Linked DNA regions of Mus musculus. The protein of the gene in region 2 interacts with the protein of the main gene of each other region in a pairwise test. Links are inferred from orthologs where the notes say so. Each region holds a gene or a part of one and is shown on either strand. Other genes may lie near its edges. The genes, in order: Dkk1 and Gm9736.

Region 1 (16,668 bases), on a different chromosome or scaffold from region 2:
AGCCCTGCGGCACAGTCTGATGATCGGAGGCAGACGGAGCCTTCTTGTCCTGTGAAGGAGACAGAAGGAAAATTACAGTTACTGCGAGGCCTGTACCATCCCACTGAGACAATTCTAAATGCACTTCTGATATATTAAATGGGAAAGGCTGAGCCTGAAAGCCCCTTTACTACCTTTGGTGTGATATATTTTTGAAGTCAGTGTGGTTCTTCTGGGATATCCATCCCCCGCGGCGGCGTTGTGGTCATTACCAAGGTTTTCAATGATGCTTTCCTCAATTTCCCCTCGAGGAAAATGGCTGTGGTCAGAGGGCATGCATATTCCTAAGAAAACCAGAAATAGTGATTAATCCTCAGGCTGTAGTTTGTTGCTGCTAATAGCCAAGACAGGAGCAGTGGGTTATACAGACACCACTGTGAGTTACCTCACTGCTGTTGCTGCCTTTCTATTTACCAAAACTCCCCAGAGAAAGCAGTATCAATGAGTGTACTGTCGAATCGTATGGAACGCCTCAGGTATAGCCATTTTAAATGCTTTCCTACTAATTGTAGTGGAGGCAGTAGAGACTTTTCTGTCTATTTTAATATTACCCTTTGGGCTAGGAAAAAGAAATCCAGTCACTTAAAAGAAATTAATCTTAAAAAATAACTTCTCTGCTCTGGGTGCTAGCTGCGCAATGCAGTTCCGGCTGCCTGGAAGACTGCGATCTCACCCGCTAGTTACTTTACTGTATAATTTTGATATTACGGAGATTTTAGTGAGTTGACTCTGGAATGCTGCTGTAACCTAGGAAGTTAGCCACCCCTCAAGTTTATTTCTGGAGACTTCTTTGAGACATTAACATTTTGTGGATCTGTGGTTGTGTGTGTGTGTGTGTGGGGGCAGTACTTCTTTGAAGGTAGTTGAGGGTGGAGGGAAAGGGGAGAAGGGATGGAGAGCTAGGGGTGTAAGCGGTACAGAGATCTCTTTTAAAAGCTGGCCAGCAGAGATTAATCATTCTAGCTCCCCGTTGACAACAGTTGTAATAGCCTTAGAGGAAAGAGAGACTGGCAAAGCCACGCAGAGTCCACCTTAAGAAAAAAACGTCTGGCTCCCCTTTCAGAACGACCTCTCCCCCTTTCTCAAGTGCCCCAAGGCTCCCTGAAGATAATTGTTTGATGGAAGGGTCCACTTTCAGGTCTTGTTGTTAGATCACAGAGGGAGGCAAGGAAAGATAAACTTTCAAGTGCTCAAACACAAGCCAGTGACGATGTGTCAGGAGAACCCTTGCATGAGCACGCGTTTGCAGGTGGCGCCACCTTAGCTTTGACAGAACCAGAGCATTTCATTTGATTCCTGGGTCCTCAAAGGCAAGGTGGTTCTAATTTAAAAAGGAGTCCAAGACTCACCATTTTTGCAGTAGTTCCCGGGGCAGCACATAGCGTGCCTCATGCAGCGCTTCCTGCGCTTTCGGCAAGCCAGACAGATCTGTACACCTCCGACGCCGGCTGCCCCGCGGCTGGGGCTGGAGCAGTACTCGTCAGAGCCGCACTCCTCATCTTCAGCGCAAGGGTAGGGCTGTGGGAAGGGAGCGGACTGGTGAGCAACTCAAGCATCCTGGTACCCACACCTTCAAGGTCCCCATCTGCCTCTTCAAAAGCCCCTTAAGCGCGCTGCTCTTAATGCAGTGATTCCAAACACACCCCAAATCTCACACACCTAGATCTTTCTGAGACCCCCGTCGGGATCACAGCACCCCTCTTACCTGGTAGTTGTCAAGAGTCTGGTACTTGTTCCCGCCCTCATAGAGAACTCCCGGCGCCACACTGACAGCAGAGCCCGGCTGCCCCCCAGCACCACCCAGCGGTGGGGGCAGGTTCTTGATCGCGTTGGAATTGATGAGAACTGAGTTCAAGGTGGCACTGGCTCCTAGCAGAGGGAGGCTGCAGAGAGCCATCATTGTAAACACGGCCAAGAACCGGACAGCTGCCGCTGCACACACAACCATCATCTCCGAAGGACGCAAACAGGCAAAGGTCAGGAAAAGAGAGGTCACTTTGCACGGCGGCTGGCTGCAGAGTCTGGACTGCGGAACCTCAACTTCGGGACCTCCGCTGGTGGAGTCTCTGGCTGCCAGGCGCACAGCTCTGCACCGCCACCGCCACCTCTGGCTGCCTTTATACTCAGGCTCCCAGCCCTCCCAGCTCCTCAGGGAAGACAACAAAGCCGGGATGGGATTTCAAAGCTTTGGGAGGAGCTGGGAGGGGGAGTGTTTGTGTGTCGGAAGCAGGGAGGACTTTGACACTCTCCCCTCGCCCCTCCCTTGCACTGTGGTCCCCTTGTCCAGCTCACCTTAGAGTGTGGGTCACTAGAGCACTAGAGCATTAGAGCCTAGCCCAAACTTATAAATAAATAAATAAATAAATAAATAAATGGCGGGAGGGTGCACTCTGTGAGCTTGAGTGTTCTGCTGTGGGGCTGGGTTAGTTCTGTCTGAAATCCTTGTCAGAGTTAAAAGTGATAGAATATACAAAACCACGTTTCTTCTCTTCCCCATATGAGTACCCTCGCTTTCTGCGCACGCAAATAATATTCAGTATTAAATACAATGCGAGCAGCCATTCATCAAAGGTTTTGTGAAAAGCCCAGGTGGCTCCTATAGTTGCTGATTAACCCTTTAGCGTTGCGATTTGCAAATGAGGTTCTTGTCTTTTAAGTTTGTCTAGTTGCTTCCCCACTTCCCACTCCCTCCCTCCCCCCACCCAACCCTACACACACCAGGAGAAAAAAAAATGTGCAAAGACAAGAAAATTTGCACATCAAATGAGGATGCCAAGGGAAGAACTAATTCGCTTTTGATGGTGAGTTTGGGGGGGTTGGGGGTGGAGGCGAGAGACTGCCGTTTGGAAATTAAATCAGGGATGGAGGGGAGAGGGAAATAGGCACCCGATAATCAAACTATTTAATGTGGTTCTTTGAATCTGGTCAATCCCAGCAGTAGATGAACTTGATTAAGCAGACACATGAGATCAAAGTGGCTCTGAGCCAGAGCGGACAGGGTCCCTGAGCCTGGTCAGTCCTCTTTCCCTGGTTCCCTGTTCCCAGCGGTGGGTTAATAGAAGAAGATAAGAAACCCGAAGGCTTAGCTCCCGGCTTTCTCATTAGTGTTTCATATCGCTGAGCAGGAGAGGGCTTGCTTTTGATCCCAAATCAAACCTCGTCCAGGACAGGACAGGACAGGAGGAATAACCCTCTAGGGAGATAACAGAGGACCTCCTGGAAAAGAAGTGCTGAACCTAAATCAGAGAATGAATTTGAAGGGGTTTCGCCCAGTGTGTAAAATAAGAAACAACATGGACATAAGAATGCCGTGCTTATAAATTAGCGGTAATGTATGTAATAATGACTTTTATTAAAGTCAGTCTTTTATCCAACCATCACAGTGCTAAAAGAGACAGTTGTCATGAAATAACAAAAGATAAGAAATGTGAATGGATAATGTTTAAGAACAGATCGATAAATCTGAGACCACAAGCAACTGTTGTATGAGACTGAAAAGGAAGAAATGATCTGAAATCCTTGTTGGAGAGGGTGAGCTGAGATGTCCTTTGTAGCCCCTTAGCTTCTGGATCTGCTAGAATTATTCACGACACCGCTTTATCTATAATAGTTATTCTTAGGAAGCCCCCCACCCCCACAATAGCCAATGACAGTCTTGTACAAATATAACCCTGAAGTTGAGCTAGGAGGGATATTATGAACAATATTTAAATATCTGTTTGGTGGATTTCAGAACTTAAGTGTCTTCCAAGTAACTTTTAATGTTGCCTCAATTCTACCCCAAACTCCATTCATCCCGAAGAATTTCCTGTGGTTTGTTGAAAGTCTAACATGGATTAAATCCTATGTACTTATCTGGCTTTTATTAGGAATATGTGCAATTGTGTAGCAAGGCTAGTTACCCACAGATCTTTAAAATATTTGAAAACAATGAACAGGTTTTAAAATTTTGTTTAAAAGTGAATATTAGGAATAATAAAGGGGGACAAATAACTAACAATAAATCAGATTTTCCTGGCTCCACGCAGACCTACCAGTCAGTGGATCTGAACCTTGCATAGATGCCGGGAGATGGTGGAATAATGTGGTGGTGGTGGTGAGCTCATATTATCACATTCAGCATACTACTAGCAATGTCAATGATCAACGTGTTAAGTATCTTTTCCTAGAAATACACATATGTGCCACTTCTCTCCCCATATTCTGATGTAATGATGATTCTTGATTAATACACCTACTCTAAATGAGCAGAGCTCAGCTCACCAAGAACATAGGCCCACAGTTGAAACCAGGGGTGGGTGGGGGGCGTGGGTGGGGGTGGAGGAAGTTTTGGCACTTTCTACTTTTTATGTTCCTTCTGGAGGTATGAATAGGTCCACACCTGAGGCTAAGCAGTGTCCTTGTTGCTTCAATAAATAATAATAATAATAATAATAATAATAATAATAATAATAATAAAAAGAACAAGAACAGTCATCTTCAAGTTATTTAGGAAAAGATGAAGCAAGCTCACAGATGATACAGGGGGAGACAGTTGCCATTTCCTGTGCAGCCTATTCTCCATTTGTGAACCCTTGTTTTGATTGAGCTTACTTCCGGGGTGTCATAATCAGGAGGTGAAGATCAAAAGAGATAGGTGCACTGCTCCTGCAGTGCCGGAGAACACCCAGAAGAGCCCCTTAAGAGTGGTTCTCTCATATGCTGAAGGCAGGCTCCTTCCAGTCTAGGAAGCATGCAGCCTAGGAAGCATGGTATCAGGTCACAGAGGGAGTTTTGCTGTTGTTTGGCTTGGTTTTTGTTGTTGCTTTGGGGGGTCTTAGCACTTTAAGACCACTGGAGTCCGACTATGTAGCCTGCACGTTAGATTTTCTACCACAGTTTCCTCCATTGCTAGGGTCAGGGGCGTATATCACACAGTTTTTTGTTTTTTTTTTTAAAGTAGATTTTACTTGGTGCGTATTGGTCGGGAGAGAAAAGAAGAGAGGTCCAGGAACTGGAGCCACACCCCAGCCTCAGGCAGTCAGAGGTCACGTGACTTGGAGTCTCATGCAGCCAGGCAATGGAGTGCCTTGCTGTATCGATCAAACTTAGTTTAATTTCTTCAGGAGGGAACTTTGTATCTTGTTGGATATGCTCTCACTATGACCATAGTTATGGCAATACAGTTAATGTTTCGTATTAGATTTAAAGCTAGGAGGGATGTTTAGCACAGTAGAATTAAACTGTGTGTGTAACTCGAGGATAGCGTGAGACATGACTTCCTTCTGTTTTAAATGTTGGGCAGCAGCCTAGGATACCGGTCCTTCTGATTCATGAGACAAATGACAAATAATATTTAAAGACACAGAACCCTGGGATATTTGCACACTACTCTCCCACCTCCGTTATTTGGGGGTACTTCTCCTCCCCCCTTGTCTCCTTTCCCCTCCTCCTCTTCATTCCTTCCCTCTCCTTATCAAACTGAAGGTAGTCGATCTGTTCACATTTAGTTTTTGTAGTCTTGTCTTGTCTTGTCTTGTCTTGTCTTGTCTTGTCTTCTCTTCTCTTCTCTTCTCTTCTTGTTTGTTTGTTTGAGACAGGGTTTCTCTGTGTAGCTCTGACTGTCTTGGAACTTGCTCTGTAGATCAGGCTTGTCTGGAATAGAGATCTGACTGCCTCTGCCTCCAGAGGGCTGGAATTAAAGGCATGTGCCACCCCCACCCTCCCTAAAACTCTTATTGAGCTTTCAATAAGAAAACTCGAAGTAGGTGGTGGGTGTTGCCAGCATCTTCCTTGGTGCCAGCCTTGAATTAATAGCAAAGATTTCCCGTTCCTGACGTTTAATAAAAAGCATATGACTTTCTCCTCGACTTTTAAAAGATTTTTAGTTTCTATGCTCATCGTGATAGACAAGCTTTCAGACGTGACTCATGTTTGGAGTCCCTTGAAGTGGGTAGGCTTTTCTGTCCTACAAAGAGGAGCAAGTGAGTTTGGGATGCTTATCTTCGCTCTGTCCCTGGAGATGGCTAGCCTAGATAAACCCAGCGCCACAGTCACAAGACTATCTAACTCAGCTCAGAAAACGATCCTGGAGCCCTTGAAGCATAAACAGCCTGGAGCTCAGAAGTGAAGGAGGTCTGGTGAGAATGATGACAGCAGCATCTTTCAGGAGGTCCTGACTCCCAGAAAGGCCTGTGATAGGTAGGGTCTAGGAGTCCAGCTGCCTCATAATATCCCCTGTAGGACTTAATATTTCCAATCCTAAAGATAGGGCGGTGCCAGCATAAGGCGGGGCCCGGACAGCAGATATATAGGAGATGGAATTTTCTTCTGTGCCACTGGGTTCTTGTCATACTCCCTGTATCATACTGGCATTCTCCAAGGGCTGTGACCAAAAGGGCCCCTTGCCACTGCCCTGGAAGCTAAGGGCTGGAGCTCAGCAATGGACTGCAAGGTGACAACTGTCCCTTTGTGATTGTGGAACTAGCTTTCTTTTCATTTGTAAATGTCATGCTGGGAAGTCAAGGGAGCCCCCTTCTGGATACAAAAGTAGTCTTTAAGCCGTCCTGGGCAAGGCCTTTTGTCTTCAGGTTAAATGTCTTTCAGACAGCGTTATTAAGCAATACTCACTATTGTGGACCCTGGGAACTTGCTGATTTTGGAGAATGTAAACTAAGTTTCTGGAAATATGGTGAATTACGTGACTCTTGATTTTCTAAAAGATGCCCGAGCAGAAGGGAGTGAGAGAACGAATGAACAAATTAATATGAATGAGAATGGATGAATGAATGATTTTGTTTCTTCATCCCCAAATTTCCAGCTAGAACATTGTATTAGAACCTTGGTGGAAACAAGATGTAGGCTAGAAACAGTACTAACTTCTGCTAAGGGGTTGGAGCAAGGATTCTTCCCCCTTGAGAGGATCTTGGAGCTCCAAGCTGCTGTTGCACTCTCTTCCTGCCAGGGTGAGCCGCGAACCTCCATTGCCTGAGCGCTGGCTCAGGCGGCTCACTGCAGTCACAAGCCATCGCCACCTTACAGTAGTGTAAAATGAAACTTGCTTAAAGACTCTTTGATGAGAGAAGATCAAACAGCTCAGGGTCCCTGTCTTAATCAACCGTGAGCCAGGTGGCCTCGCAGAGAGCTGGATTTGGGGCTTCTGTGGACTTTGTGTTTAGCAAATTCATCAGCGTAATCCCGTTGAAGCCCTGGCCTGGGCGCAAATCTCTTCGCACTACACTGCTGCTGTGGGTCCACGGTGTCAGTTCTCGGGGCAAATAAATCAGGGTTAATTAGAAGTGGGGAGGGTAGAGGGGGAAAGGAGAGGCACAGGAAGATTTCTGCTCTGAGAGACGGTAAGTCCTCACCACTGCTAGTTCGGGAAGGAGCAATCCCGTTCCTCTGCTTCCCCCTGGTGGATCCTATCGGAAGTGATCTGGACCTAAAGTGAATTAAAAAAATAATTCTTTGGAAGATTTGTTTCATTTTGTTTTTAGAGACAGGGTTTCTCTGTGTAGCAGCCCTGGCTTTCCTGGAACTCACTGTTTAGACCAGGCTGGCCTCGAACTCACAGAGGTCCACCAGCTTCTGCCTCCAGAGTGATGGGATTAAGAGGGTATGCCACCACACCCGGGATAACTTCTCCAGCTCTCACACTGAAAACGTTTCAAAGCTAAATAGTCTCCAACTTTTAATATTCCATATAATATATAGTAAATCTTCGCATAATAGAATAAGATAGGATAGCGTCTAACCGCTGTCTAAAGACTAAGGAGTTGGGGTCTGGCACAGAGGCTCTCAGTGAAATGTTTATTCAGTTAGGTTTAATTTGCACACCAGCATTCCTCATTCCTGGATGAAAACTTAGGCTCTTCAGATGATAAGTACCACACTTAAGGAGAATCCTATGCTGCATGTATTTCAGGAAAGTTCATTCATCTATAACCATTTTTTATAAAACTTTTTAGAAAATGAAAATATGTCATTTGTTTCAATGAGAAAATGTTAATTTCAAATTTTCCACTTTTTTTAAAAAAAGAATATTATCTAGGAAGCTTATGAAAAATACAAGCAGGTAATAATTTTGTGCCCACTCATGTTTTCCTTTTTTAAAAAAATAAAAGCTGTTGGAACTTGTGTGATAAATCTTTTAAGCATGCAACTCAATATTTATAATCTACTAAATTTTAGATATAACAAGTGCCAACTATAGAAATCACACAGCATTGTTTTCATATTGGGCTTTAGATTATGTTTTCTAAGAATGGTTTTAAAGAAGTAAATTGACCTTCAACAAAAGAACTCGAGAGGTTTTGTTTTTGTTTTTGTTTTTTCTTCCTGTTGTTGCTTGGGACAAGGTTTTGCCATGTAACCCAGGCTTGTCTTGACATGGCAATCGTCCTACCTCAGGGTCTAAATGCTGGGGTGACAAGCCCGTGCCACCTGAGCTGGCTTCTCACTGATAATTTCATTAATCCCTGCCCACCTTTTTGGCTTGAACTCTGTGTTCCATCAGTACCTCCACAGACTGCTGTATCAAATGGCTCTAGTTATAAGAAAAGCCACTTTCACGTAAGCTGCAAGCCGGAGAAAAGAGTGAAAAGCAGTTTGCAAGGTTCAGGAGCTTGGTGGGTTCAGCTTAGCTGCAGATGTCCTTAGAAGGTACAGGAGCGGTAAGGAAAGCTGACTAGCCTTCTGTGAGAACTGGCTTCCTTTCTTTCCTCCTAACGATGTGAGAGGAAGACTGAGGCTAGATATGTAAGCCCTAAGTCCTAAGGTTTGCCTTTTTCTGTGCTTTTTGTTGTTGGTGTTGTTATAGATTTAAAAAAAAAAAAACTTTAAACATTGTTATCTTAACAGCAGTAAAAGACAAAAACAAGAACCAGAAACCCACGCAACATATTAATTCCCACCCCAAAGACCGCACAGTGCAGCGAACATAGAGTAGCCATTGGAAACAGAACTCAAGAGCTTCACGTCTTACGCTTCCACTATGGATATATTTTTTATTGTTGCCATAAAAAAAATCTACAATAGAATTGGAACAAGGAAACCATCAGCTGTGCATCAGCATTCATAACTCATTCTGTCCTTCTTCACCCCTCACATTCAGCATTTTTGACTCTCTTGTTGTATGCTAGATGGCATCTACATGCAAACTTGTTTACATACACACACATACACACACACACACACACACACACACACACACACACACACACACACACGCACTGTCATTAGATTCTGCATATGAGGGAGGATGTGGCTTTTTTTCTTCCTGAGATTGTTTGGCTTCATATTACTCTAGACTCTGAGTACATACATTTTTTTTTTTTTTTTTTTTTACAAATTTTGTGGTTTCATTTTTTTTTCCTTTAGCACTAAGTAGTATTCTATTTTACACACATACACACCAAATTTTTCTTTCTCCATTATTGTAAAGGTCATGATTGATAGGCAAAGTCAGTTTATTTGAAAACTTATCATGCTCTTGCTTTATGATGTTTGAGATTAGAAAAATGGAAAGGTGGGACGTGGGTAGAGAACTGGCTCAATGGTTGTGCACGTAGAATAATATAATAAATCCAAATAAAAAAGAGAAACATAAATAAGAGAAATTTTCACTTTCATGTATGGGAAAAACGAGGGAAAAAATTGAATATTTTGTACTGATCTGGCTGGTACAAAGTTGAACAGACCTCTGAGGAGGAAGTGAGGGTGACTATAGGAAAGATAGAAAAGCGATGCAAGAGACAGATATGGGAGGGCTGCAGGTCAATACCACACTAGAAGTGAGTGTATTTCTCTTAGCCTTCATATATTATGGTACCCTGGGAAGGAAAGCCACAAGCTAACAGAAACAAGTTGCTAAACTATACACAAGGCATTTGTTCTCAACCAACCCCCAATTCCTTCCACCGAGGTCAATAGAATCTTAGCCCCTCGCCCTGAGCCTCAGGTGCACACATCCTTTTCTCGGTCTGTGTGCCTTAGCAGGCCTGGAAATCTGCCAACAGACCATGACCTGCCTTGACTCTGCCCGGAGGTTCTCTGTCTGTCTGTCTGTCTGTCTGTCTGTCTCTGTCTCTTTCTGCTTTAGAGAAGAGGGCAAGCAGCTCCCGACAATACTAGGGATAGGAAAATGGCTCAGTGGTTAAGTAAGGTGCTTGACATGAAAACATGAGAATCTAAGTGCGACTCTCCAGAGCTAACCTAAAATGCAGGTGCTGGAGTAGGGAGCTAGAAATGGTAGTCTGAGAACCAGGCAGGCAGAGGCTGGAGGATCCTGAAGGTGGATGGATGGGCAGCCAGTTTAGCTGAATCATTGAGATTCAGTAGTAATGAGAGACCTTATCTCAAAATATAGTTGAAGAGAGACTGAGGAAGACACTAAAAATCATTCTCTGGCCTCCAAATGTATGTGCGCACACACACACCAACATTAAATAAATAGGTGAATGAGTAAAATATATTTTTTTTTATTTTGAAGATGATGACCAGGCCAGCTCAGTCAGTCAACCAGGTCTCAAGGGAGGGAGGGAGGGAGGGAGAATTGAAAAGAAAAAGACAATTAGACAACATTATAACATGACTCCAGCCAGTGCAGAGGCTGAAGTAAATTTTTTCCCAGTCTGCTTTTATAGCATTTTAAGTACATGCAAATAACAAGGTCAGTTCTAGGTCAAGGAACAGACAAGGCAATAAACTCAAATAGTTGAGGGGCTTATGATGACCAAGACAAAAGGAGTGCCACACATTCCTGGGTGGCTGGGCCCACTCTGAGCTTTGCCTTAACCCAAATGTAAATATTCTCAATATGAGACTATTTCCTGAGTCCTAGCCCAAAGTCAAATTCCTGCCTGAGTTTAACATCTTTGTTCTAGTCCAAAGTCAGATTCCTGCCTGAGCTTACCTCCTTGTCCTGGTCCAATGTCAAATTCCTGCTGAGTTTCTAGAAGTGGCCCCCAAAGCCCTCCACAAGATAGTGAAAGAGGTTGTCAATTAAAACTTTCTTTTTCTCTACAACTGTTTTTCAGAAGCCCTTTGGGTGTATGACTCTTTTGTTTGTTGTTTTGAGAGTGAGAGATGTAGCAGCCTAGGCTGGTCTTGCATTTCTAGTCCTATACCTCCACTTCCAAAATGGTGGGATAAAAGGCCTGTGTCACCACACCCAGGTACAGCCACGGTTCTTAAATATCCACTAAACTAAAAGCAGCTTTCCCTTCAACTTTGAACCCAGCCCTGATTTTATTTACTGTGGATTTTTCTGAACACTCCCATCATGAGCCAAAGAGATGATCTCAAATGTAATAGTAGTTTGGATTAGAATTTTTCAGTTTATGCCATGAAAGAAATACCATTCACTGAAAAGCTTAATGTTTGGCTCTAGATCTTGCCTGGGCTATCAGGACCATTGGTAAGATGTGCAGTGTACAGGAAGCTATAACTCCCAGTCAGTCATGGGGCCACCAGGCAACCGACCAGCACTCCACAGTTACATGGACTGCTGAGCCATCACGTTAGGTAGTCGTTTACATTATGTTAGGTGCATTTTGGGTTTAAAGTAATTTTCAGATTTTACTGTGTATTAGGTGCAGTTTGGATTTATATTATTTTCAGATTATGGTAGTATTACTGGGCTTCAGCTTATTTGGAAGCCCAAGAGCAATTGTCAGAATTCTCTAGGGAAAGAGAACTTGTGCTGGTTAGTCTTTGTCAAGTTGACACAAACTAGTCACCTGGGAAGAGAGAACTTCCACCGAGAAGTGCCTCCCTCGGGTTGGCCTGTGGGCATGTCTGTGGTGCTACATCCACTCCAGTAGTGACTTGCTTGACAGGTTTAGAAACCTGGAAGCAGTCCTGAGGCGAAGAGTCTCCTGGAACTGTGGCATCCCATAGCATGTATGCTCCAATTTTGTCCTTGCAAATGGATCTGTGTGCTTTCTTTCAGTATTGTTTTATTATAGGTGCCTCCAAGCAATGACTTGCCAAATACCTAAGCAAAATTGAACTTTGCTTCCTGGCCTTCACCAATGCCGTAGGTAGTCCTTGAGCTGACCCTGGGCTTTGAATTCAGTAAGAATGTTAACTATTCAGTGACATTCAGAATTGCCTCTAGTATTGTAAGAGAGATAGTGAAAGAAATCAGGCATTACTATCTACTACATAGAGTTAGAAATCTCAGGGCAAGCTTAGCAAAGTAAGTTTAGAATTCTTCTTATAGTTATGTGTGGCAGACTACATTACTTATTAGTAGAAAGTCCCCCACACCATCACTTAGAATAAAAGCCAAGTCACTCCCATATACAGGAATTTACAATGGTTTAGGAAGTAGATCGGGCTGTGGTTTTAGAGTATTGCATTATTCATGAGAAGGTTAGCTAGAGTGGAACTCCCTAATTAGAACCATGACTTGGGCAAGAGAGCCCTTGCCCTGGAGTGTAAAGACCTCACACCTGGCTTCTAAGACTATTGCTGACCTTAGATAGAGCTGACTTTGTCTCAGTTGTTTTATTGCCCAGTTCCTGCCAGCCTTTGTGTTTGCATTCCTGTTTTGTGTATGAGTCATTAAGCATCCAGTAACCTCATTGTATCTTGCCAATGTGTCACCTACCTTCCCTATTTTCTTCTGTATAAAAAGTCTGATGCTCAATTTGACATTACATTCAGATTCAGCACAGTCCCTTGTGTCCTGTCTGTTTGTTACCCCATTCTCACCGACTCTATGCCCATCTGTCTGAGACCCTGATCCCCACAGATTGAGGGGGGGGCGACTGGGCCTGGTCTGTGGCACTGTGGGGTTGTTTTCTTGGTTAACAATTGATGTGGAAGGGTCCAGCCCACTCTGGGTGGTTCCATACCCAAGAAGGTGGGCTTTGGTTGGATAAGAAAACAATCCAGTGAACAGTGTTGCTTCATGGTCATAGGTAGCTATGGACCCAAAGCCCAATTCTAGGCTAGAAAATGTTCTCATACAAAAGAGTTTTAACCAGCCACTCTTTCTCCTCATTCTTAGAATGTCAGCTCATTAACCTGTGGTATGTTGTCAACTTTTGGGGACTTTTGGAAGATTTTCAAAAATTATATCCATAATACACACACACACACACACACACACACTATTATATAAAACTACAGAGATGGCTTCATAGTTAACAGCACTTGTTGCTCTTCCAGAAGACCAGATTTTGATTCCAAGCACACACATTTCATCTCACAGCCATCTGTAATTCAAATTCCAGGGGGTTCCAGAAACTTCTTTGACGAGGGCAGAGAGATACATTTATCTTTTGGTTTCGAACACAGAAATGATGCTGTTTTAGGAAAGTAGCAGTAGTAGACTCTCCTCTAGAGTGCATGACATCGGCAGCCACAGGTAGTTGGCTGGGTATAAAGTAACAGGCACGAATACCCTCCTTTTGAGTGGGGCTTAAGTCCTATTAGATGACTGTTGGTTGCTCACAAGGTAGATATTGCATCCTTGAGTGTATCTTGCAATGCTGGTCATTCTCATGGCTTGTAGGCTCACACTGGGCGAGAAGACTGCCAACTACTTTTCTTCCTTGGCAGCATGCAAAGCACCTTCAGCTACTATGAGAGCTAGTCCCCAGGGAGGAGGCCTCCAGGTCCATTTTAACCCAACTCCTCCAAGTCCTGTGTCTGAAGTGTGTGATGTTTTCATTTATAGGGCCTCACCTTCAAGTTCTGGGAGGCAACCAAGGGCAACAGTGGTAGCTTATGCTGTTTTAGAAATCTCTTGAACTCCACTGATCAACTGGAATGGAGGTTTTGCATGCCTGGTACTGTCTCCCCCCTCTCTCTGTGTGTACAAATCATACCTTGTGAAGATTATACTATGTCTATTCCTCTCCTTCTGTATGGGTTCCCTCCTTTTTCTAATTAAAGATACTTTCTCTGAAGAGAACCATTAATTAGTAATCTAATGGCAAATGTTCAGGCCTGAATACATACACACAAGTTACACTATAAAGACTGAGCATGTCTCTGTGTGTGTGTGTAACAACAATTAATGCAAAAATAGGCCATAAGTGATGTAATTTATTGTGATCTCAAGATTTTATTTATTTATTTTTCCATTTTTTATTAGGTATTTAGCTCATTTACATTTCCAATGCTATACCAAAAGTCCCCCATACCCACCCACCCCCACTCCCTTACCCACCCACTCTCCCTTTTTGGCCCTGGCGTTCCCCTGTACTGGGGCATATAAAGTTTGCAAGTCCAATGGGCCTCTCTTTCCAGTGATGGCCGACTAGGCCATCTTTTGATACATATGCAGCTAGAGTCAAGAGCTCCGGGGTACTGCTTAGTTCATACTGCTGTTCCACCTATAGGGTTGCAGATCCCTTTAGCTCCTTGGCTACTTTCTCTAGCTCCTCCATTGGGAGCCCTGTGATCCATCCATTAGCTGACTGTGAGCATCCACTTCTGTGTTTGCTAGGCCCCGGCATAGTCTCACAAGAGACAGCTACATCTGGGTCCTTTCAATAAAATCTTGCTAGTGTATGCAATGGTGTCAGCGTTTGGATGCTGATTATGGGGTGGATCCCTGGATATGGCAGTCTCTACATGGTCCATCCTTTCATCTCAGCTCCAAACTTTGTCTCTGTAACTCCTTCTATGGGTGTTTTGTTCCCAATTCTAAGGAGGGGCATAGTGTCCACACTTCAGTCTTCATTCTTCTTGAGTTTCATGTGTTTAGCAAATTGTATCTTATATCTTGGGTATCCTAGGTTTGGGGCTAATATCCACTTATCAGTGAGTACATATTGTGTGAGTTCCTTTGTGAATGTGTTACCTCACTCAGGATGATGCCCTCCAGGTCCATCCATTTGGCTAGGAATTTCATAAATTCATTCTTTTTAATAGCTGAGTAGTACTCCATTGTGTAGATGTACCACATTTTCTGTATCCATTCCTCTGTTGAGGGGCATCTAGGTTCTTTCCAGCTTCTGGCTATTATAAATAAGGCTGCTATGAACATAGTGGAGCATGTGTCCTTCTTACCAGTTGGGGCATCTTCTGGATATATGCCCAGGAGAGGTATTGCTGGATCCTCCGGTAGTACTATGTCCAATTTTCTGAGGAACCACCAGACTGATTTCCAGAGTGGTTGTACAAGCCTGCACTCCCACCAACAATGGAGGAGTGTTCCTCTTTCTCCACATCCACGCCAGCATCTGCTGTCACCTGAATTTTTGATCTTAGCCATTCTGACTGGTGTGAGGTAGAATATCAGGGTTGTTTTGATTTGCATTTCCCTGATGATTAAGGATGTTGAACATTTTTTCAGGTGCTTCTCTGCCATTTGGTATTCCTCAGGTGAGAATTCTTTGTTCAGTTCTGAGCCCCATTTTTTAATGGGGTTATTTGATTTTCTGAAGTCCACCTTCTTGAGTTCTTAATATATGTTGGATATTAGTCCCCTATCTGATTTAGGATAGGTAAAGATCCTTTCCCAATCTGTTGGTGGTCTTTTTGACTTATTGACGGTGTCTTTTGCCTTGCAGAAACTTTGGAGTTTCATTAGGTCCCATTTGTCAATTCTCGATCTTACAGCACAAGCCATTGCTGTTCTGTTCAGGAATTTTTCTCCTGTGCCCATATCTTCAAGGCTTTTCCCCACTTTCTCCTCTATAAGTTTCAGTGTCTCTGGTTTTATGTGAAGTTCCTTGATCCACTTAGATTTGACCTTAGTAAAAGGAGATAAGTATGGATCGATTCGCATTCTTCTACACGATAACAACCAGTTGTGCCAGCACCAATTGTTGAAAATGCTGTCTTTCTTCCACTGGATGGTTTTAGCTCCCTTGTCAAGATTTTATTTATTTATTTTATGTATATGAGTACACTATAGCTGTACAGTTGGTTGTGAGCCTTCATGTGATTGTTGGGAATTTTATTTCGGACCTCTGCTCGCTCCGGTTGGCCTGGCTTGATTCCCCATTCACTCAGTCCCTCCTTGCTCCAGCCCAAAGATTTATTTATTATTATAGATAAGTACACTGTTGCTGTCTTCAGACACACTGGAAGAGAGTTTCAGATCTCATTATGGGTGGTTGTGAGCCACCGTGTGGTTGCTGCTTTCTGCTTGTCCTGCTGGGCACCATTCTGCTCCATCATGCCTTCCTGCTTTAATGGCCTGATCTCTTGGAGACATCAAGGTTTGAAGATTTCCTTTAAGTTCTCTCTCTCAGGTGCTGGTCACAGTAATAAGAAGAGTGACTAATCAGGATAGGACACATTTAAGGCTGAAAAGCTGAGTAGAGATCTGTAACTAGTAGGAGATTCTTCTCTAAGACACTGACTTACTGACGCTGACTCCCATGAATAACTGTATAATGACTTGACTCTACTGATGTGATAGTGGGGGAGTGGCCAACTCTAGCCTTTTATTATGTCATTTGTAAGCATCAGTGTCACAACACACTGGGCTTAACACGGTGGATAATTTTAAAAAAATAAGAAATGAATAAAATCATTCTTAGAACTATGGTAGAAAAAAACGGGTAGATATTTCCTTCCAGGTTTTGACTGTCTGAGAAAGTTACTGGACTGGGTATCTGGTTTTCATAAAGGATATCTAGTTTTCATGAACTGTCACTAGTCATCCAAGCATGTCAGTGGGAT
Region 2 (15,694 bases):
TACCTGCCAGGAGGAGTCAGTACAAGAATCACAGGATCCGGGCAGGCAGACCCGGCTGTCATAGCTCAGGTCACTGGAGCAGACGGACATGGTGGAGGTAGCCATGGTGGGCAGGTGTGGTAGGAGCTGTGGGTGTGTGAGCTTGTGTGAGTGTGAGGTGCTGGCTGTTAGCTTTTATACCTCCCTGAGCTTGTGTTGTCCTGGTGAGAATCTTCTAGGGCTTTCCTTCCTGCTTGCTGGAGCTCCCCTTATTAGTGCAGTGAGCAAGCCTAACCTGTGATTTTTTTTGTTTTGACTGTGCAGAAGGCCTGGAAAACACTTGAGGCCACTTCCCCCTGTGAGGTTTTAGAGGTAAGCAGGGCTTCATGGAAACAGGTATTTGTTATCCTGTGTTTGAGTGACGGGGACCTGTTGTTGTTAATTTTTATTGCTGTTTAAAACAAGAAGAATGGAAAACACATGCCTTCCATAGTACAACTCATTCAGAGGCGTATGGGGAGGTCGTCTGTCCCTCTGCAAATGCTAGCGAGATGCAAGTCTTACACAGCACAAGGTACACAGAGGCTTGCTGGCAGGAAGCTGTGTGTGCTCCCTGAACCACCTGTGCTTTGTAAGGGAAACAGGCTCCCGTAGGGTTTGGCATCTTCTTCTATGGTGCCTGATTTCTCCTGAGATACTCAGCATTTCCAGTGAGACTCTGAGCTTTTTCTATTGTCATCTTTCTGTCATTCTACGGCCAGAGATTCCACACCTGCAATGGTCACAATTCAGAAGCTCCTGGTCTACCTACCCCTGACCCCACCCCGCTATGATAGGATAGTTTGGCTGGGTTTAGAATTCTGGGTTTGTACCCAGGTGGTGGTGCACACTTTAATCCCAGCACTGGGGAGGCAGAGGCAGGAGGATCTCTGAGTTCGAGGCCAGCTTGGTCTACAGAGCAAGCTCCAGGACGGCCAGGGCCACACAGAGAAACCCTGTCTCAAAAAACAAACAAGCAAGCAAGAATTCTGGGTTTTGAACCAATATCCCTCAAGGCAGAGGTGGCAATACTTATTCTGGTGCCCATGTTACTGAGCAGAGGCAAGTGGAGTTTCTCCAGTTCACCTGCCTTTCAACCTCTGTCTGTTGTTTCCTTCCTGAATGCTGGGCTTGTTCTAGAATGCCTGTGACTGAGCTAGGTGTTGCTTTGTGGACTATGAATTCTTTCAGTATGACCTCTCTTCTCAGGATTACCTTAAAAACCAGTTCTCCTTCCATGGCTTTTCCTTCCAAGCTCTAGACATGGTGTAAGCCTTCAGCCGTGTCTCTATCCCTTGTTTTCCTCAGTTTTATCTTTTCATACCCTTCCTTGTGAGATTGTCTTGGTTTTATTTCCAGACACATTCTGCCTCTAGAGAGTCATCTTAACTCTCTATGAAAATTAAGATCCTATGGACACACCAGGTACTCCACTCCCAGTGTGAGCTCAATGAGACATATCTGCCATTTCCTGTCTGGATCAGTCTCTAAAGCCACCACGACAGATCTGTGTATCCTGTAGCTAGCTATGCAGAGAGGGCTGGCTTCCCTTGTGTGGCATGGCTGGGTGTTCTCTCAGGTTGCTGGGAGCAGCAGGGATATACCTCCATTTTTTTTTAATTCCTCTTTTTTCTTTTGGAGACAGTAGCTCCTATAGTCCAGGCTGGTCTCACTATGTAAGCCAAGGTTTTCCCTGAACTCTTGATCCTCTTGCCTCCATATCCCAGAAGTGTGCCACCACCCTGGGCTTATGAGTGGATGCGTCTTCTGGTGAACTCATCTCTTTCTAGAACCTTGTTTGTCTTCTGTGGTCAATCCCACTCCCCACCCCCTGCTTCCAATTCCCAGCGTCTTGATGGTTTGTTTCTTCAGCTCTGGTCTCACAAATCTTTTCAGCTTTTCATCTTAGTCTGAGTCTCCTGTTCATTCCCAGGACTCCATCCTCCCTGGCTCCTGATGCTGGCTCATGCCTTACCTACCCTGGTTTCCAGCTTTCCTGATCTGCGTCTTAGCCCCCCTGCACTTTTGCACACCCCCCCCCCAACCACTCCCCTGCACATCTCCACTTCAGCCTCACCACACTACACCCATCCTGCAGCCTATTGGCAAGCACCCTCACCTGCGGGCTTCTGCTTTACTTTCTAAGAACTCTGGGTGTCCTCCCTCTCCCCTACCTTCCCTCTCCCTTTCTCCCTCCCTGTCCTCATTCTCTAGGAGAGCATCCCGCTCTTAGTTCACAACCTCCCTCATCTATTGATCTCACTTTCCAGAGCTGGAAAACTGCAAAATGAAAAATTGCAGAAATAAATGAGGCCGGCTGTTGAGGTTTGGTCTGTTGCTATGTACCATAATAATAATACCAGCCCCCAAGATCTGGTTGCCTCGGAGATGAGAAGATCCTCACGTACACCAAGTGATGCTATGTGACCTTGCTCTGTAATTTAAAACTATAAAAAGATGTAGCCACAAGCGGTCACGAGAGGCCACGGGTCACTGGGCTCCTGAAAGGAAAGCTGGGGATGGATGGGAGGAACAGCAAGAGAAATAATGGAGCCAAGTCAAGGTTCTCAGATCAAGGCTCAACTTTAATTCTTGAGTCTGAATTTCTAAAAGGGGGAAACCCATCCCCCACCTTGTCAGACTCTCCTTGGGAAGACAAGCTCAGCTGCTCAGGTAGTGGCTTCTTGCAGAAAGCTGCAGATATGGCAGGACAATAGACTTTACCTAGGTCAGAAGACAAAACAAGGTCTGATTCAGCCCACTCAAGGCTGGGGAGAGGACACAAAAAATGCTGATAGTCTATAGCTGGGTAGAGGAGAGGTAGGTGAGGTTTCGGTTCCCAGGTTTGGGGTCTGAGGCAGGACCATGGGAAGGGAGAGAGAAGATGGAGATTGAAGAAGATGCCGTGGGGTAGATGAGTCATGAAAACATGGCCATGAGGGCTGGCCAATTGGAGTAAGAGCAGCCCAGACAGAACATGATAAATTATATCTCAGGGTTATTGACAGGAAAGTAGGCAAAAATAGCTTAGAGGGTAGATATCTTCTCAGCTCTAGTGCTTTAAAAGCTTAAGGTCTTATTATGAATATAAAAATTTTATGTCTTTTGTCTGAGAACGGAATGATCTAATGCAGTGTAGAAACCTCCAATTTGAAATTAAATATTTACTACAGCAGCGGACTTTAAAAATTATTTTTATTATGGCACACTATTGTAAGTGTTCTTGTTGGCACATGGTTCATCTTCTGAGGCTAGCGTCCTTGGAGGTATCTTGGGGCTGGAGGAACCCTCAGGCTGGTGCTCAGCCATGCCCAGTGTTTCAGGCACTCATGGGTGTATTGAGGTGCTGTTCCAGCTCCCTGGGGGGGGGGGTTGTCATCTGCCCACTTGTGCATCTTCCTGCTCTGATTCTGTCCAAGTCCTTCGCTGACTTCCAGATTTGTGGCAAGGGTCCCAGTCACTTGGTCACATTGCTGAAGTGACCCCAGCACAGGAGACTCTGTGGGAGGTTGCTTGTCTGTCTCTTGCTGGGTTAGAGGTGACATCCATCCTGGGCACCTGTGGCAGGTCAGTGGTTCTTCTTTGGGATTAGCACCGTCATCTGAAGATCTCTGGTACCCACAGCCATCCTCTGAGCCCTGACCTGGGACTTGCATCCTGTCTCCATTTGGTTCAACTTCAAAGTTCACCTTCAGAATTAAGGGTATATGGCCATGAGTTCCATGTTCTCAGACAGTATCCTGTGTAAGGTAAAGGGATGGGACTGTTAGTCACAGGGGCCCAGTGATGGCCTGAAGCTCCTACTAGGTAGTTTTCTTGAGAAATGCTTGGTGTGCCATGGTGCCAGCACTTAAAGAGTATGACCAAGGGTATCAGAACATTTGGCTGTCATCAGTGTGTGCCGTAGCTCATTCCAGGCTCCTTGCCCTTGAGTGGTCCTTCTGTCCTCCCCTGCCCTACCTCAGACACCCACAGTCATGGTGTATTGATTTTGAATATACTTGGCCCAGGGAGTGGCACTATTAGGAGGTGTGACCTTGTTGAAGCGGGTGTGGCCTTGTTAGAGGAAGTATGTCACTGTGAGAGTGGGCTTTTGAGACCCTCCTCCTAGCCACATAAGAGTCATTTCTTCTAACTGCCTTCAGAACAAGAGAAGACTCTAATACCATGCCTGCTTGGATGCTGCCATGCTCCCACCATGATGATAATGGACTGAACCTGTAAGTCAGCCCCAATTAAATGTTGTCCTTTATGAGAGTTGCCTTGGTCATGGTGTCTGTTCACTGCAGTAAAACCCTCACTAAGACACATGGTTTACGGGCGTGGTGGCGCACGCCTTTAATCCCAGCACTCGGGAGGCAGAGGCAGGTGGATCTCTGAGTTCGAGGCCAGCCTGGTCTATAAAGTGAGTTCCAGGACAGCCAGGGCTATACAGGCTATACAGAGAAACCCTGTCTCGAAAAACTAAAAAAAAAAAAAAAAAAAAAAAAAAAAAAAGACACATGGTTTAGGCACAGAATGTCCCCAGAAGGTTATGTGTTGAATGCCTGTTCTCCAGTTGGTGGTACTATTTGGGAAGGTGGATGAAACATTAGGCCTCCGGCCTTACTGGAGGAAGTAGGCCACTGGGGGCGGGCCTTTTGAGGTTCATCCTGCCCTTCCTCCTTTCTGCTTCCTGTCTGCCATGAAAGGAGCCACCTTGGCTCCATGCTCAGGTTCTGTGGCTTTCTATCTTATCACAGGCTCAGAACGAACAGGGTAAAAGCTGGACACTTTGGAACCACGAGTCAGAGGACTTACCCTCAACCCCTGATTCTACATATCATCCTTAGCTCTCTATGCTGATATTTGTCTCAGCATTCATTGAGCAGTCTGACTGGCCTGTATCCCTGCTGTCCATTCCCAGAAGTCTTGTGCTGTGTTTTCCACACATGACCTCATGCCATCTCATCAAGCACGATGCTTCCACCTGGCTGCCTCCTCTACAGCTGTTCAATGTTCCCTGTGTGGACAGCCCACACACATCTATCCACCCTTCTGCTGTGGACATTTGAGTAATTTCCTATATCTGTTAGCAGTGTGAACCTGAGTGGGGACTGCTCTATATCGATGGATGTTCTCATTTCTCCCAGGATGAAACCTGAGGCTGGCCTGACAGAGTTCTTTGGTCACCTTGTGATTTAAAGTTTTGGAAACGGTCTTCCAATGTGGCCCCACCAGGAAAGAGGCTCATAGGAGACAGGGGACACACTCTCCGGGTACTGGAGGGCATCCCTCTGGCATACTGGTCACTAAGCAGGTGAGGTCCTGTGTTTTGGGCATCAACGTGCAGATGTGAGAAGGGCAGACATATGTTGGGTGTGACCTCCAGTCAGGTTGGGCCTTACCTGTTGGCCATTCAACAACCACAGCAGTATCATGTGACCATCATCATGGCCCTTTGGGACCTCTTATCTATGGGCACATAGATTTGTTCCCAAGAAAGTGGACAAGGCTGTGTCATTTGCTCTCTGGTGCTGGGATGTCTCAGTGGTTATCTTGGGTAGTTTTCTGAGTGGGGGAAGGGAGGTGACCCCTGAGCACAGGAAGCACTGTGTGGGGCACCTGGGACTGCTGGCACAGCTGGTGTTACCTCATGTGTCAGTCACTCTTGTTGCTGCTGTAACAAAATGCCTGACGGGAAGCAACTTAATAGAAGAAAAGGTTCATTCTGACTCACGGTTGCCAGGGACACAGTCCATCACAGTGGGGACAGCGCATTGTCAGGAGAACGAGGCGACTGTGTTCCCTGTGCCCTGAACTATTTCCTGCCTGACTTTACCTGCTCTTGGAGGTTGGAGGTGAGGTAGTACAGAGTCCATGACACAGGCTCTGGGAGCAGGTAAGAAATGCTGCAGCAGGCTCACCTGAGCACGGCTGCAAACTCCTTTAATACCCTCTACCCACACCCTCATTGGTCCCAAGAAGGCATCTCTTCTAAACAGCAGTTTCTGATTGGCTGACATTGTCTGTACCGGCAATCCTTGGTCTCTCAGACAGTCCTCAATTAGGTCCCCGTGCAGGAGATGGGTTGTTGACTCTGTTCCACATCACTTCCAACCCCCAAGGGCAGGAAGGTAGTCTAGGGCACAGGCAACACCACTGGTCAAGAAGGGGGGAGGGAGGCAGGGAATGCCCATATTCAGCTTGTTTTCTTCTTCTTTTTATCCAATCCTGGCCCCCAGTGCATAGAATGGTGCCACCCATTTAGGGTGGGCATTCCCATCTCAGTTAATCTGATCTGGAAACTCTCCCCCAGACATGCTGACTTGGTCACCGTTCTCTGCTGTGAAGAGACACATGACCAAGGCAACGTATAGAAGAACACATTTTATTAAGCGCTTCCGTATAGCTTCAGAGGGTGAGTCCATGGCTGTCATGGCAGGAAGCCCAGAAACAGGTACACAGGCATGGCGCAGGAACAGCAGCTGAGAGCTCGCATCTCAATCCATACAGAAAGAGCAAGATTGGGCCTGACTTGGACTTTTGAAACCTCTAAGCCCACCCCCAGTGACACACCTCCTCCAACATGGCCACGCCTCCTAATCCTTCCCAAAACAGTCCCACCGTCTAGAGACCACGCCTTCAAATATATGACCTTAAGGAGGCCTGCAGCTAGTCCTCTGTGGTCAAGGGCAAAGGGTTGGGAATAACTAGAGCAGTGGAGAAGCGCCTGTGGGGAATAGTTCCCCAGATGAGGACTTGAGTCAGCAGCGAGACTTCTGGCCTGAGGAGAAGAAACCACATATGTTGACAATTTGTTTCCATGGTGATAACAGATCCGGTCAAGTTGACATTATTAACCACCCCATTCCACCCAGCATTTACTCAAGTGGTCCCTGTGCTCCGGCTGGGTGGGATGTTGGATCTGGAATGCCAGTCACCAAGACAGGATACCAGTTCCACTGCTGCTGGCAGTGGAGAAGAGGTGCAGCAAGAGGACTCACAGCTAGACTGCTGGCAGCATGAGGAGGAAGTGTGTAGAGCAGCTCCTTGGAAAGGCTCCTGGGCACCAGGGCTGCAGGAAGGGTGCTGGAATCTAGGAGGATTGCATTGGCAAGAGGCGTCCAAAAGACTGTACAAGGTTGGCATTCTTGGGGCTTTTGAGCCTTATAGCTGGAGCTGGAACTGGAGCCCTGGTTGAGATGTGGACACTGGGAAGGGTAGAACTTCCATGAAAGATGGAGACAGAATGAGCATTGTCATTCCCCCACAGTCCTAAACTCAGATACTAAGTAGCTGCTCCGAGAAGTGCCAGCTGTACCCTTGAGCTAGGTTTCATTTGATGCATGAGATATGGACCCACCATGCCCACCCACCCCTTCACACACACAAATACACACCCACACATAAGACACAGGTCATTAGGAGACAGAGGCAGGTTTAAAGATTTATTTTTCTTTAATTTTAAGAGTGTGTGTGTGTGTGTGTGTGTGTGTGTGTGTGTGTGTGTGGTGTGTGTAAGCTCATGCACACATGTATTTGTACATGCATGTGCAAAATGAGTTCAGGTGTTGTCAGGGGGCAGCAAAGTCCTTAGGAAAGGAATTACAATTCACAGCAGACACCCTCTGTGCACTGGGAACAGAACTCAGGTCCTATGCGAGTGTATGTGCTCTTTACCCCTGAGCCATCTCTCCAGCTCCTAAAGGCAGGGTTATGAGAATATGCATAGTAGCAGGTCAGATAAGGCCCCCATAAGACTAGGGCTGCTGGAGTTGGGAATAATCTTAGGACTTGAGGCCTAAGAAGTCAGTGGAACTCCATTCAGGCAGCCTCAGAGAAGGGCTCAGAGGCCAACCACCGGCTGGGTAGCCATGGCTAGTCTTCTGTGGTCAAGGCTAGAGGGTGGGAATGGCTAGAGCTAGCAGGAGCAGGGTGAGGGGGAGAGCAGCCTGCATTGGATAATACCCCAGAGGAGGACTTGGGATCAGCAGCTGGACTTCTGTCCACAGCAGGCCTGTCTGGAGCAGGCAGGGCGGCACAGCAGGGACACACTGGAGGTTGGACAGCAGCAGCTGGGTTGGCAGGAGGAGGCACAGCAGGAGGAGGTGGGCACACAGCAGGCAGGTCTGCACACTGGGCGGCACAGCAGGGACACACTGGAGCAGGGCTTGCAGCAGACTGGAGCACAGCAGGAGGGCTGGCAGCAGGAGGAGGAGCCAGAGCAGATGGGTGTGCAGCAAACAGGCTTGCAGCAGACAGGCACACAGCAGGGGGATTGACAGCATGAGGACTGGCAGCTAGACTGCTGGCAGCATGGTCCAGGGCAGATGGGTGTACAACAGACAGGTTCACAACACAAAGGCTCACAACAGATAGGTTCACAGCAGGGCTGCTGGCAGGGAGAAGAGGTGCAGCAAGAGGACTCACAGCTAGACTGCTGGCAGCATGAGGAGGAAGCGCCACAGCAGACTGGCACACAGCAGACAGGTTTGCAGCAAAGGGTCACACAGCAGGGCTGTTGGCAAGGGGAGCAGGTACAGCAAGCTGGCTGGCAGCTAGACTGCTGGCAGCATGACGGTGTGCAGCAGGAAAATTGGCAGCAGGGGCTGGACACACAGCTCACTGGGGTGCAGACAAGGGTCAGGCAGGGGGCTGGGGCACAGCAGCTGGGGACACAGCAGCTGGGCTGGCAGCAGCTAGACTGGCAGCAGCTGGGGGCACAGCAGCAGGGCTCACAGCAGCTCTCTGGGCAGTCATCCACCTGCCAGGAGGAGTTGGTGCAAGCGTCAGAGCAGACAGACATGGTGGAGGTGGCCATGGCAGGGTTGGCTGGAGGAGGGTGTGTGTGTGTTGAGTGACTGTGTGAGTGTTGAGTGAGTGTGTGTGTGTGAGGTGCTCTGGGCTCTGTGCTTTTATCCTTCAGGCATGTTTTGCCTCAGGAGACTCTGTACACTTTCATTTCCTTGTTATTCAGTCTGGAGGATGCTCTGCAGGGCTCAGTCATTAACTCCTGTTGGACTGGTTGCTCCAGCAATAAACACATCTGGAGGGAAAGCACAGACTTCCTGGGCTGACCCTGTGCCCCCTGCCTTGTGGTGCCTGCCAGGGTACCTGGTGATGATGCTGAGCGTTTAACTATTGTATCCTCCAGTCCTGTCATCATTCAAGGGGTGGTCCAGCCTGCCTGAGGCTAGGAGACAGGTGATGGCCCCATCACAGGCTTATCTGTCCTGCATCAGGAACCAGCTCTGTTGCAAGAGCATCCCACTTATAGCTTCTGCTCTCAGGTATCCCTGATATTGTCAGAAGCCTTGGTTCAGTGGTGCCCCAGACACAGTAGACAGAGGTACTTTCACAGAAACAAGTGAGCAGAGATCAGCAATTGCTGCACTGAGTAGGGCTTCTGTGCCACACAGTGTGGGCTTTCTGCCTCATATACATGCTGCAGTTTCTCATACAACCTCTGTCCCATTGACTTCTCCACACAAGTTCATGTGTGACCAGTGTCTACAACATCTGGGCCCAGAGGTGTGCTATAGCGTTGTGATACCCACAGCTCAAGACCCCTCTGGACCTCTGTATGTGTAAGTATATGTTTATATGTGTATGTGTATGTATGTGTGTGTGATGTATGTGTATGTATATTTGTTTTTAAGGAGTGGCCCCTGTTCCCCTATGTCCAGTCTTAGGATTGCTCTGTTTTCTTAAATAAATTAGTTTGGACAGTCCTTTGTCTTAGATGGAGTTGTCTCTCCTTTCATGGAGTTTTGATGGTTCTGGGCAGCAGGTTCCCTGGACCGTGAGTGTTCTGAGGATCATCACTGACTTCTCTAACAAAGTCCTCTGCTGCCCTGTGCTTTCTTAATCTTGGTGGTTTAATTTCTTGGGCTGGTGAGATGGCACAGCTGGTGGGAACACTGACTGCTCTTCTGAAGGCCCCGAATTTGATTCCCAGTGGCCACATGGTGGCTCACAGCCATCCGTGGTGAGAAATGATGCCCTCTTCTGGTGTATCTGAGGTCAGCTACAGTGTACCTAAGTACAATAATTAATAAATCTTTAAAAAATTTTTTTCTTCTCTTGTGTACCTTGTGTTTTTGTGACTTGCCTGAGATACCACAGTTGAGTCTTTGGTCAGGAGATTGGCTTTTATGCCTTTTTCTATGATTTTGTAGCTTTAGCTCCTGCATGTGGTTTTCTGATTCATCTTGAGTTAATTATTTTTGATATGGCATTAGCATATAGCCTTATGTTCAGCATGTGACTGTCCTAGCAACATTTGTGGGAGAGACCGTCCTTCGGTCACCGCATGTCCTGGTGCTGTTGTTAGAAATCAGGTGATTGGGCTTAGTCCACTGATGTACACACCCACCATTGCTGCAGAAGCAACAGCAGCACCATGGTTTTGACCCCAAGGACTTTACTGCTGGTAATCATATTCCTCATTGCCTAATGGCTTTGGCTCTAACCTCCAGTACATTGTTGAGTGGACGTGGACAGCCTCACCTTGTACCTCTCCTTAGAAAGGGTTATGGGTAGCCTCCTTAGAAAGGGTTATGGGTAGCCTTCATGGGTGTCTTGTTTCCCACTGAGGATATTCTGTTGGTTTTGTTGAGTGTCTCTATTAGGAAAGGGTGTCAGAACTTTCTGGGCATCTTTTTATCCATGATTGAGATGGATGTGAGTTTCCTCAGGCCTCTGAAGTATACCACCCAGGTCTACAAAGCCACTGAGTCAGCTTTGCATTCCTCTCCTCCCTGTCTGTGCAGTGCAATCCTTTCCTATGCTGCTGGGCTCGTCCTGATTGTGTTTTATGGATGGGAAATGGTAGTAGGAGAGCTCATAATTCTTTTCTAGATGTTTGCTGTTGTTTGGGTTGTCATTCCATCGACCCCAATCCATATGAAGCTGAACTGTGAAGAACCCAACAGCTCTGGTACCCTGAGGAGAGCTGGCCATGTCAGAAAGCCATTGGTAGTGCAATACAAAAAAAAAAAAAAAAAAAAAAAAAAAAAAAGAAGAAGAAGAAATAGAAGGCCTGCAGTGATGGCTCAGAGGTTAAGAGCACTGACTATGCTTCCAGGCATCCTGATTTAAATTCCCAGCAATCACATGGTGGCTCAAACCATTTGTAATGGAATCTGATGCCCTCTTCTGGTGTTTCTGAGTACAGCAACAGTGTACTCATATACATAAAATAAATAAGCAAATAAATAAATTAATTAAGAAATCTTTTGAAAAAGGAGAGAGAAGAGGAGGAAGAGTAGGAGGAGGAGAAAGAGGAGGAAAAGGAAGAGGAGGAGAAGGAAGAGGAAAAGGAAGAAGAGGAGGAGGAGGAGGAGGAGGAAGAGGAGGGATAGAAGGAAAACGAGGGCTCAGAGAATACCGTGCACAGCCATACAAATCAAGCGAAACAGCATCAGCTTTCCCTACCCTGCAGACCAGCTAACAGCTTAGGCCAAAGAAATCTCAATGAATTTGAAACTGTTGAGGTCATATGAGGTATAACCTCAAGACAGAAAGAAATAGAAACGGAAAGGGAAGGAGAACCAGAGAGTTCACACCAATCTGTAGAAATAGAAGACACACTTAGATAGCCAGGGAGTCAGGGGCAGAGGCTGGATGATACAAGAGGCGGTTGAAAATGAAAACACAACAAACCCATGCTGGGAATAAACAGCACACGAGGGAAACTCATAGCCTTGAAGGAAGCGCCCAGACCAGCCATCTAAACTCATACCTCAAGGAACCAGGAGCAGGAAGCACAAACAATCCAGAGACAGCAGTACACAGGAAATACAAATTAGAGCCAGACATGGAGGTCAGGGAAAAGCAGCCATTGGGACAGGGGCCACAAAAGGCCACACTTGCTGATGTTTAACCCAAGGAAAGGAAAAGGAGCCGTAAATAACTAAAATCACAGGGGAAAACAGGGTCCTGATGTGTGTTTACATGAGCAAGATGGGGTAGATAGAAGAGCACACTGAACCAAGTACCATACCTCCATATTTAGGGACAGACGAGGGAACTCAGGTGTCAAGGGCAGACTCCAGGCAGCCTGGAAACCAGCTGTAGACAAATCTCATGTCTTCCTGTGGCTTCAAATGCTATTCCAAGTCCTTTCTGCTATGAATAAAAAAAATCAACTATTGCAGAGCACTTCTGGGAGCCATAAACTCTCTTAACTATGCAGAAATACCTTACTTTCTCGATCTTTTTTTTTTTCTTTTTCTTTTGTGTGATTAAGCCTAGCCTCCTGCACATGCCCCAAAGCATTTCATGTTGGAGTAGTTATAGGGACTTAGTGCTTTTATATATTTTCTCTTATTTTCAGACCAGGACTTTACTAGGTTGGCTTTGAACTTGCAATTCTCCTGCTTCAGTGATCTAAGTAGTTTGGGACTGTAGGTAACAGTTATCGTGGACACCTCCCCATTGTGTTCAAAGGACAGTTTGCTGTCCACTTCTGAGTGGACTGTCTCCTCCCTATTTTTTAAGTATGCCAAGCCATTGCTGTCTAGCCTTGGATTCAGGTGAGAAATGAGTTTCTAACTGGCACTGTTGTCTTGTAGTCACTGTAACTGCATCAGAGTGTGTCTTCTGGGTGATCTTTGTGTTTCCTCTCCCTGGAGTTCATTGTGCTTCTTGGACATGAAGCTCTAGGAGCCCTGTCCTTTTGGGGGAATGTTTTCAATTATTTCTGGAAATAAACCAACTATTTTTTGTTGGAATGGTGTACACTGGAGCTTTACTATCTCATCTGTAAAGGGCACATTTTGATGGAACTGCAGAACACTGTGACCTCTCATGACCACCCAGCTACATAGTCCGTTCACCATGTTAGAAACAAAACAAGGGACTGGATAGAGGGCTCTGCAGTTAAGAGCACTGGCTGCTTTTTCAGAGGTCCTGAGGTCAATTTCCAGCAACCACATGGGGACTTGCAACCATCTGTAATGGGATCTGATGCTCTCTTCTGACATGCAGGTGTATATGCAGATAGAGCACTCATGTAAAATAAATGAATGAACCTGAAAAGAGAATACATTAAAGTAGGTAAAAACAGGTCTGGAGAGATGGTTCAACAGTTAAGGGCACTGACTGCTCTTCCAAAGTCCTGAGTTCAATTTCCAAGAACCACATAACGCCTTACAACTGTCTACAATGGAACCAGATGCCTTCTTCTGGCATGCAGGTGTACATGCAGATTGAGCACCCATGTAAAATAAATAAATAAATAAATCTCAAAAAAAGAATACATTAAAAAGGTAAAAGGAAACAAACAAGAAGACACTCAAAACAAGCAACAACAACAACAAATCCCTGTCCCTATCTGATGCTAACTTGCCCCCCCTTCAGCCTGGGCTACCCCAATCTTGCTCTCAATTGCTTTAAGTTTTCTTCATATATATTCCAATCCTTTGTCACTCTCTCCTGCTGTGTGTCCTATTAAGCCAGGGTTGTTTGCTATGTCCCGTGTATTCTGCAGGCCAGCAAGGCTGGGCGGACCTCACTGCCTTCATTCTGGGTCCTGCTTTCCAAACTGGAATATTTCAGCTTGCCTGTCTTTCCAGATTCTAAGCTTTTCTTTAGCCTGCTCAGCTCTGTGATTGAACCTGACAGTTTGCTAGAGTCTCTGAGAACATTGGGGTCAACAGAGTGACAAGACACGAGAGAACAAGAAGGCATTTGGGTAAAACAGGACTCAGTAGCTGGTGTTGGTTCAAACTTTGTCAGTCTGACCCCAAGCTGTTTCTTTTAGGCCTATTTAGACTCAGCACCATCATTGCAAACAATTCTTGTGATGATTAACTTAATCCATTGTTCCCAGGAAATCATACCCAAGTCCCTTGGAGGAACAAAGTAAACAAAATGCAGATCAGACTACATCAAAACCCTTTGTAAAGTCCATGGGATATGTTCCATAAAGATAATAGGCTCTATAAATTGATTAAGAAACATAAGTTTAGAGGAAGGGTCTGGTGCCCAAAAATCTCTGGCCACACTGATGGCACAAAAGTCACTGGTCACAAAGCACACACCTGCTCCAGCCTCCTGGATGGAGAAGGGTTTTTGCATTCTTCCCCTTGAAGGAACAACCATAAGTGCATGCAGTTCCAGGTTCCCTGAGAGCATGACTATGAACACAAAAACATCTGTGTCCCCTACACCAGTAACTTTCTATATTTAGTTCCTTTTAAGTCATGTCCCCTCCCCTCCCCTATTCTCCCTTGTTTGCCATTGTAGACAGGGCTTGCCATTCAGTGTGTCTGGTCTCATATGCTCTTTGCCTTGTGCAGCAGACTCTGTCTTGACTTCTTTATGCCCTGATTTGTAGTCCTTGCTTCTTCTGGTTTGGGATGTGGTTCATTCTTGAGTTTGTGAGGCCTTGGGGAGCATAGCTAAAGTGAGAGCTTAGGTGGTTTGATTTCGGTGTTATCTTTCTATCTCCTGATGTGGGTATTCCTGATAAGAACTTCACTCATTGCTGCTTTTGTTCTTTCCCGGGGCTTTTGTAGGTGGTATTTATAGGATCAGTGGCTGTCTTAGTTAAGGTTTTACTGCTGTGAACAGACACCATGACCAAGGCAAGTCTTATACAGGATAACATTTGATTGGGGCTGGCTTACAGGTTCAGAGGTTCAGTCCATCATCATCATCAAGGTAGGAGCATGGTAGCATGCAGGCAGGCATGGTACAGGAGGTGCTGAGAGTTCTACATCTTCATTTGAAAGTTGCTAGTGGAAGACTCGCTTGCAGGCAGCTAGCATGAGGGTCTTAAAGCCCACACCCACAGTACACACCAACTTCAACAAGGCCACTGCCACTCCAACAAAGCCATGCCCATTCCAACAAGGCTACACCTATTCCAACAAAGCCACAACTACTAATAGTGCCACTCCTTGGGCCAAGCATATACAAACCCTTACATATTTGATTCATTTCTATTTCTCTATAATATTCTAGTATTCTGACACTTTCATATGGAAATCCCAATGGTATTAGACTTTCTGACATTTCTGCATAATAAGACCCTCTTCATCCCTTCTTGTAATACTGGAATCATGGCCATGAATTCATTTTTGTTTATTGAAGAAGTTCTTTGTTTCTTCTTGGATTCTGAAGCCTTGCTGGGCTTAGTAATCTTGTCTGGCAGTTATTTTTTCTAGGACTTCAGTACACCGTTCCCCACGCACTGGGCTGCAGAGCTCTGCTCAGGGGTCTGCAGTTGATCTGGGCTGATTGATTGCTATCAAGTGCTACTTGATGCTTCTCCCCTTTGTAGACGATGTGCGGTGGTGAGGGCTTTGTTGTGTCCAGTTAAGGTTCTTTAGACCTTGGACCCTTCCCTGGGTAGCCCTGTCTGTCCTAGGGAATTTTCTAGAATATCAATGTATAGATTTTCTATGCTCTTACCTTTTTTCTCTTCTCCCTAAAGGGTGCCAGTGGTGCTGACACCAATGATTGACAGTGTCCCAAAGGTCTCCCCTACCTTTTCCAATCTTCACTCTTTATTATTGTCTCATGGTGATCTTTTAAAAGACCTGTCCGACAGGACTGGTAGATGTGAAAGCTGTCATTATTCTTTACCACTGCTGGGAGGTTGTCACCTGAGAAGGGACCTTGTGCTCTCTAGAAATGGGATGCTGTGACCCTGAGCTGTGGGCTATGGCTGGAGCAGGCGATTTCC

What was found.
Region 1: the proteins of Gm9736 (region 2) and Dkk1 interact in a two-hybrid assay, tested with the Homo sapiens proteins (2 studies listed by BioGRID and IntAct). The two-hybrid records come from large-scale screens. The link is inferred for Mus musculus from reciprocal best matches to the Homo sapiens genes KRTAP10-1 and DKK1.

The regions. Positions count from the first base shown.
Region 1 is NC_000085.6:30,547,390-30,564,057, forward strand, and holds the start of Dkk1 (dickkopf-related protein 1 precursor), read right to left. Parts: upstream 2,108-16,668; 5' UTR 1,991-2,107; coding exon 1,745-1,990; intron 1,558-1,744; coding exon 1,389-1,557; intron 324-1,388; coding exon 174-323; intron 50-173; coding exon 1-49. UniProt on the Homo sapiens protein: Antagonizes canonical Wnt signaling by inhibiting LRP5/6 interaction with Wnt and by forming a ternary complex with the transmembrane protein KREMEN that promotes internalization of LRP5/6.
Region 2 is NC_000076.6:77,742,534-77,758,227, forward strand, and holds Gm9736 (uncharacterized protein LOC77763), read right to left. Parts: upstream 8,891-15,694; 5' UTR 8,822-8,890; coding exon 7,988-8,821; 3' UTR 7,838-7,987; downstream 1-7,837. UniProt on the Homo sapiens protein: In the hair cortex, hair keratin intermediate filaments are embedded in an interfilamentous matrix, consisting of hair keratin-associated proteins (KRTAP), which are essential for the formation of a rigid and resistant hair shaft through their extensive disulfide bond cross-linking with abundant cysteine residues of hair keratins.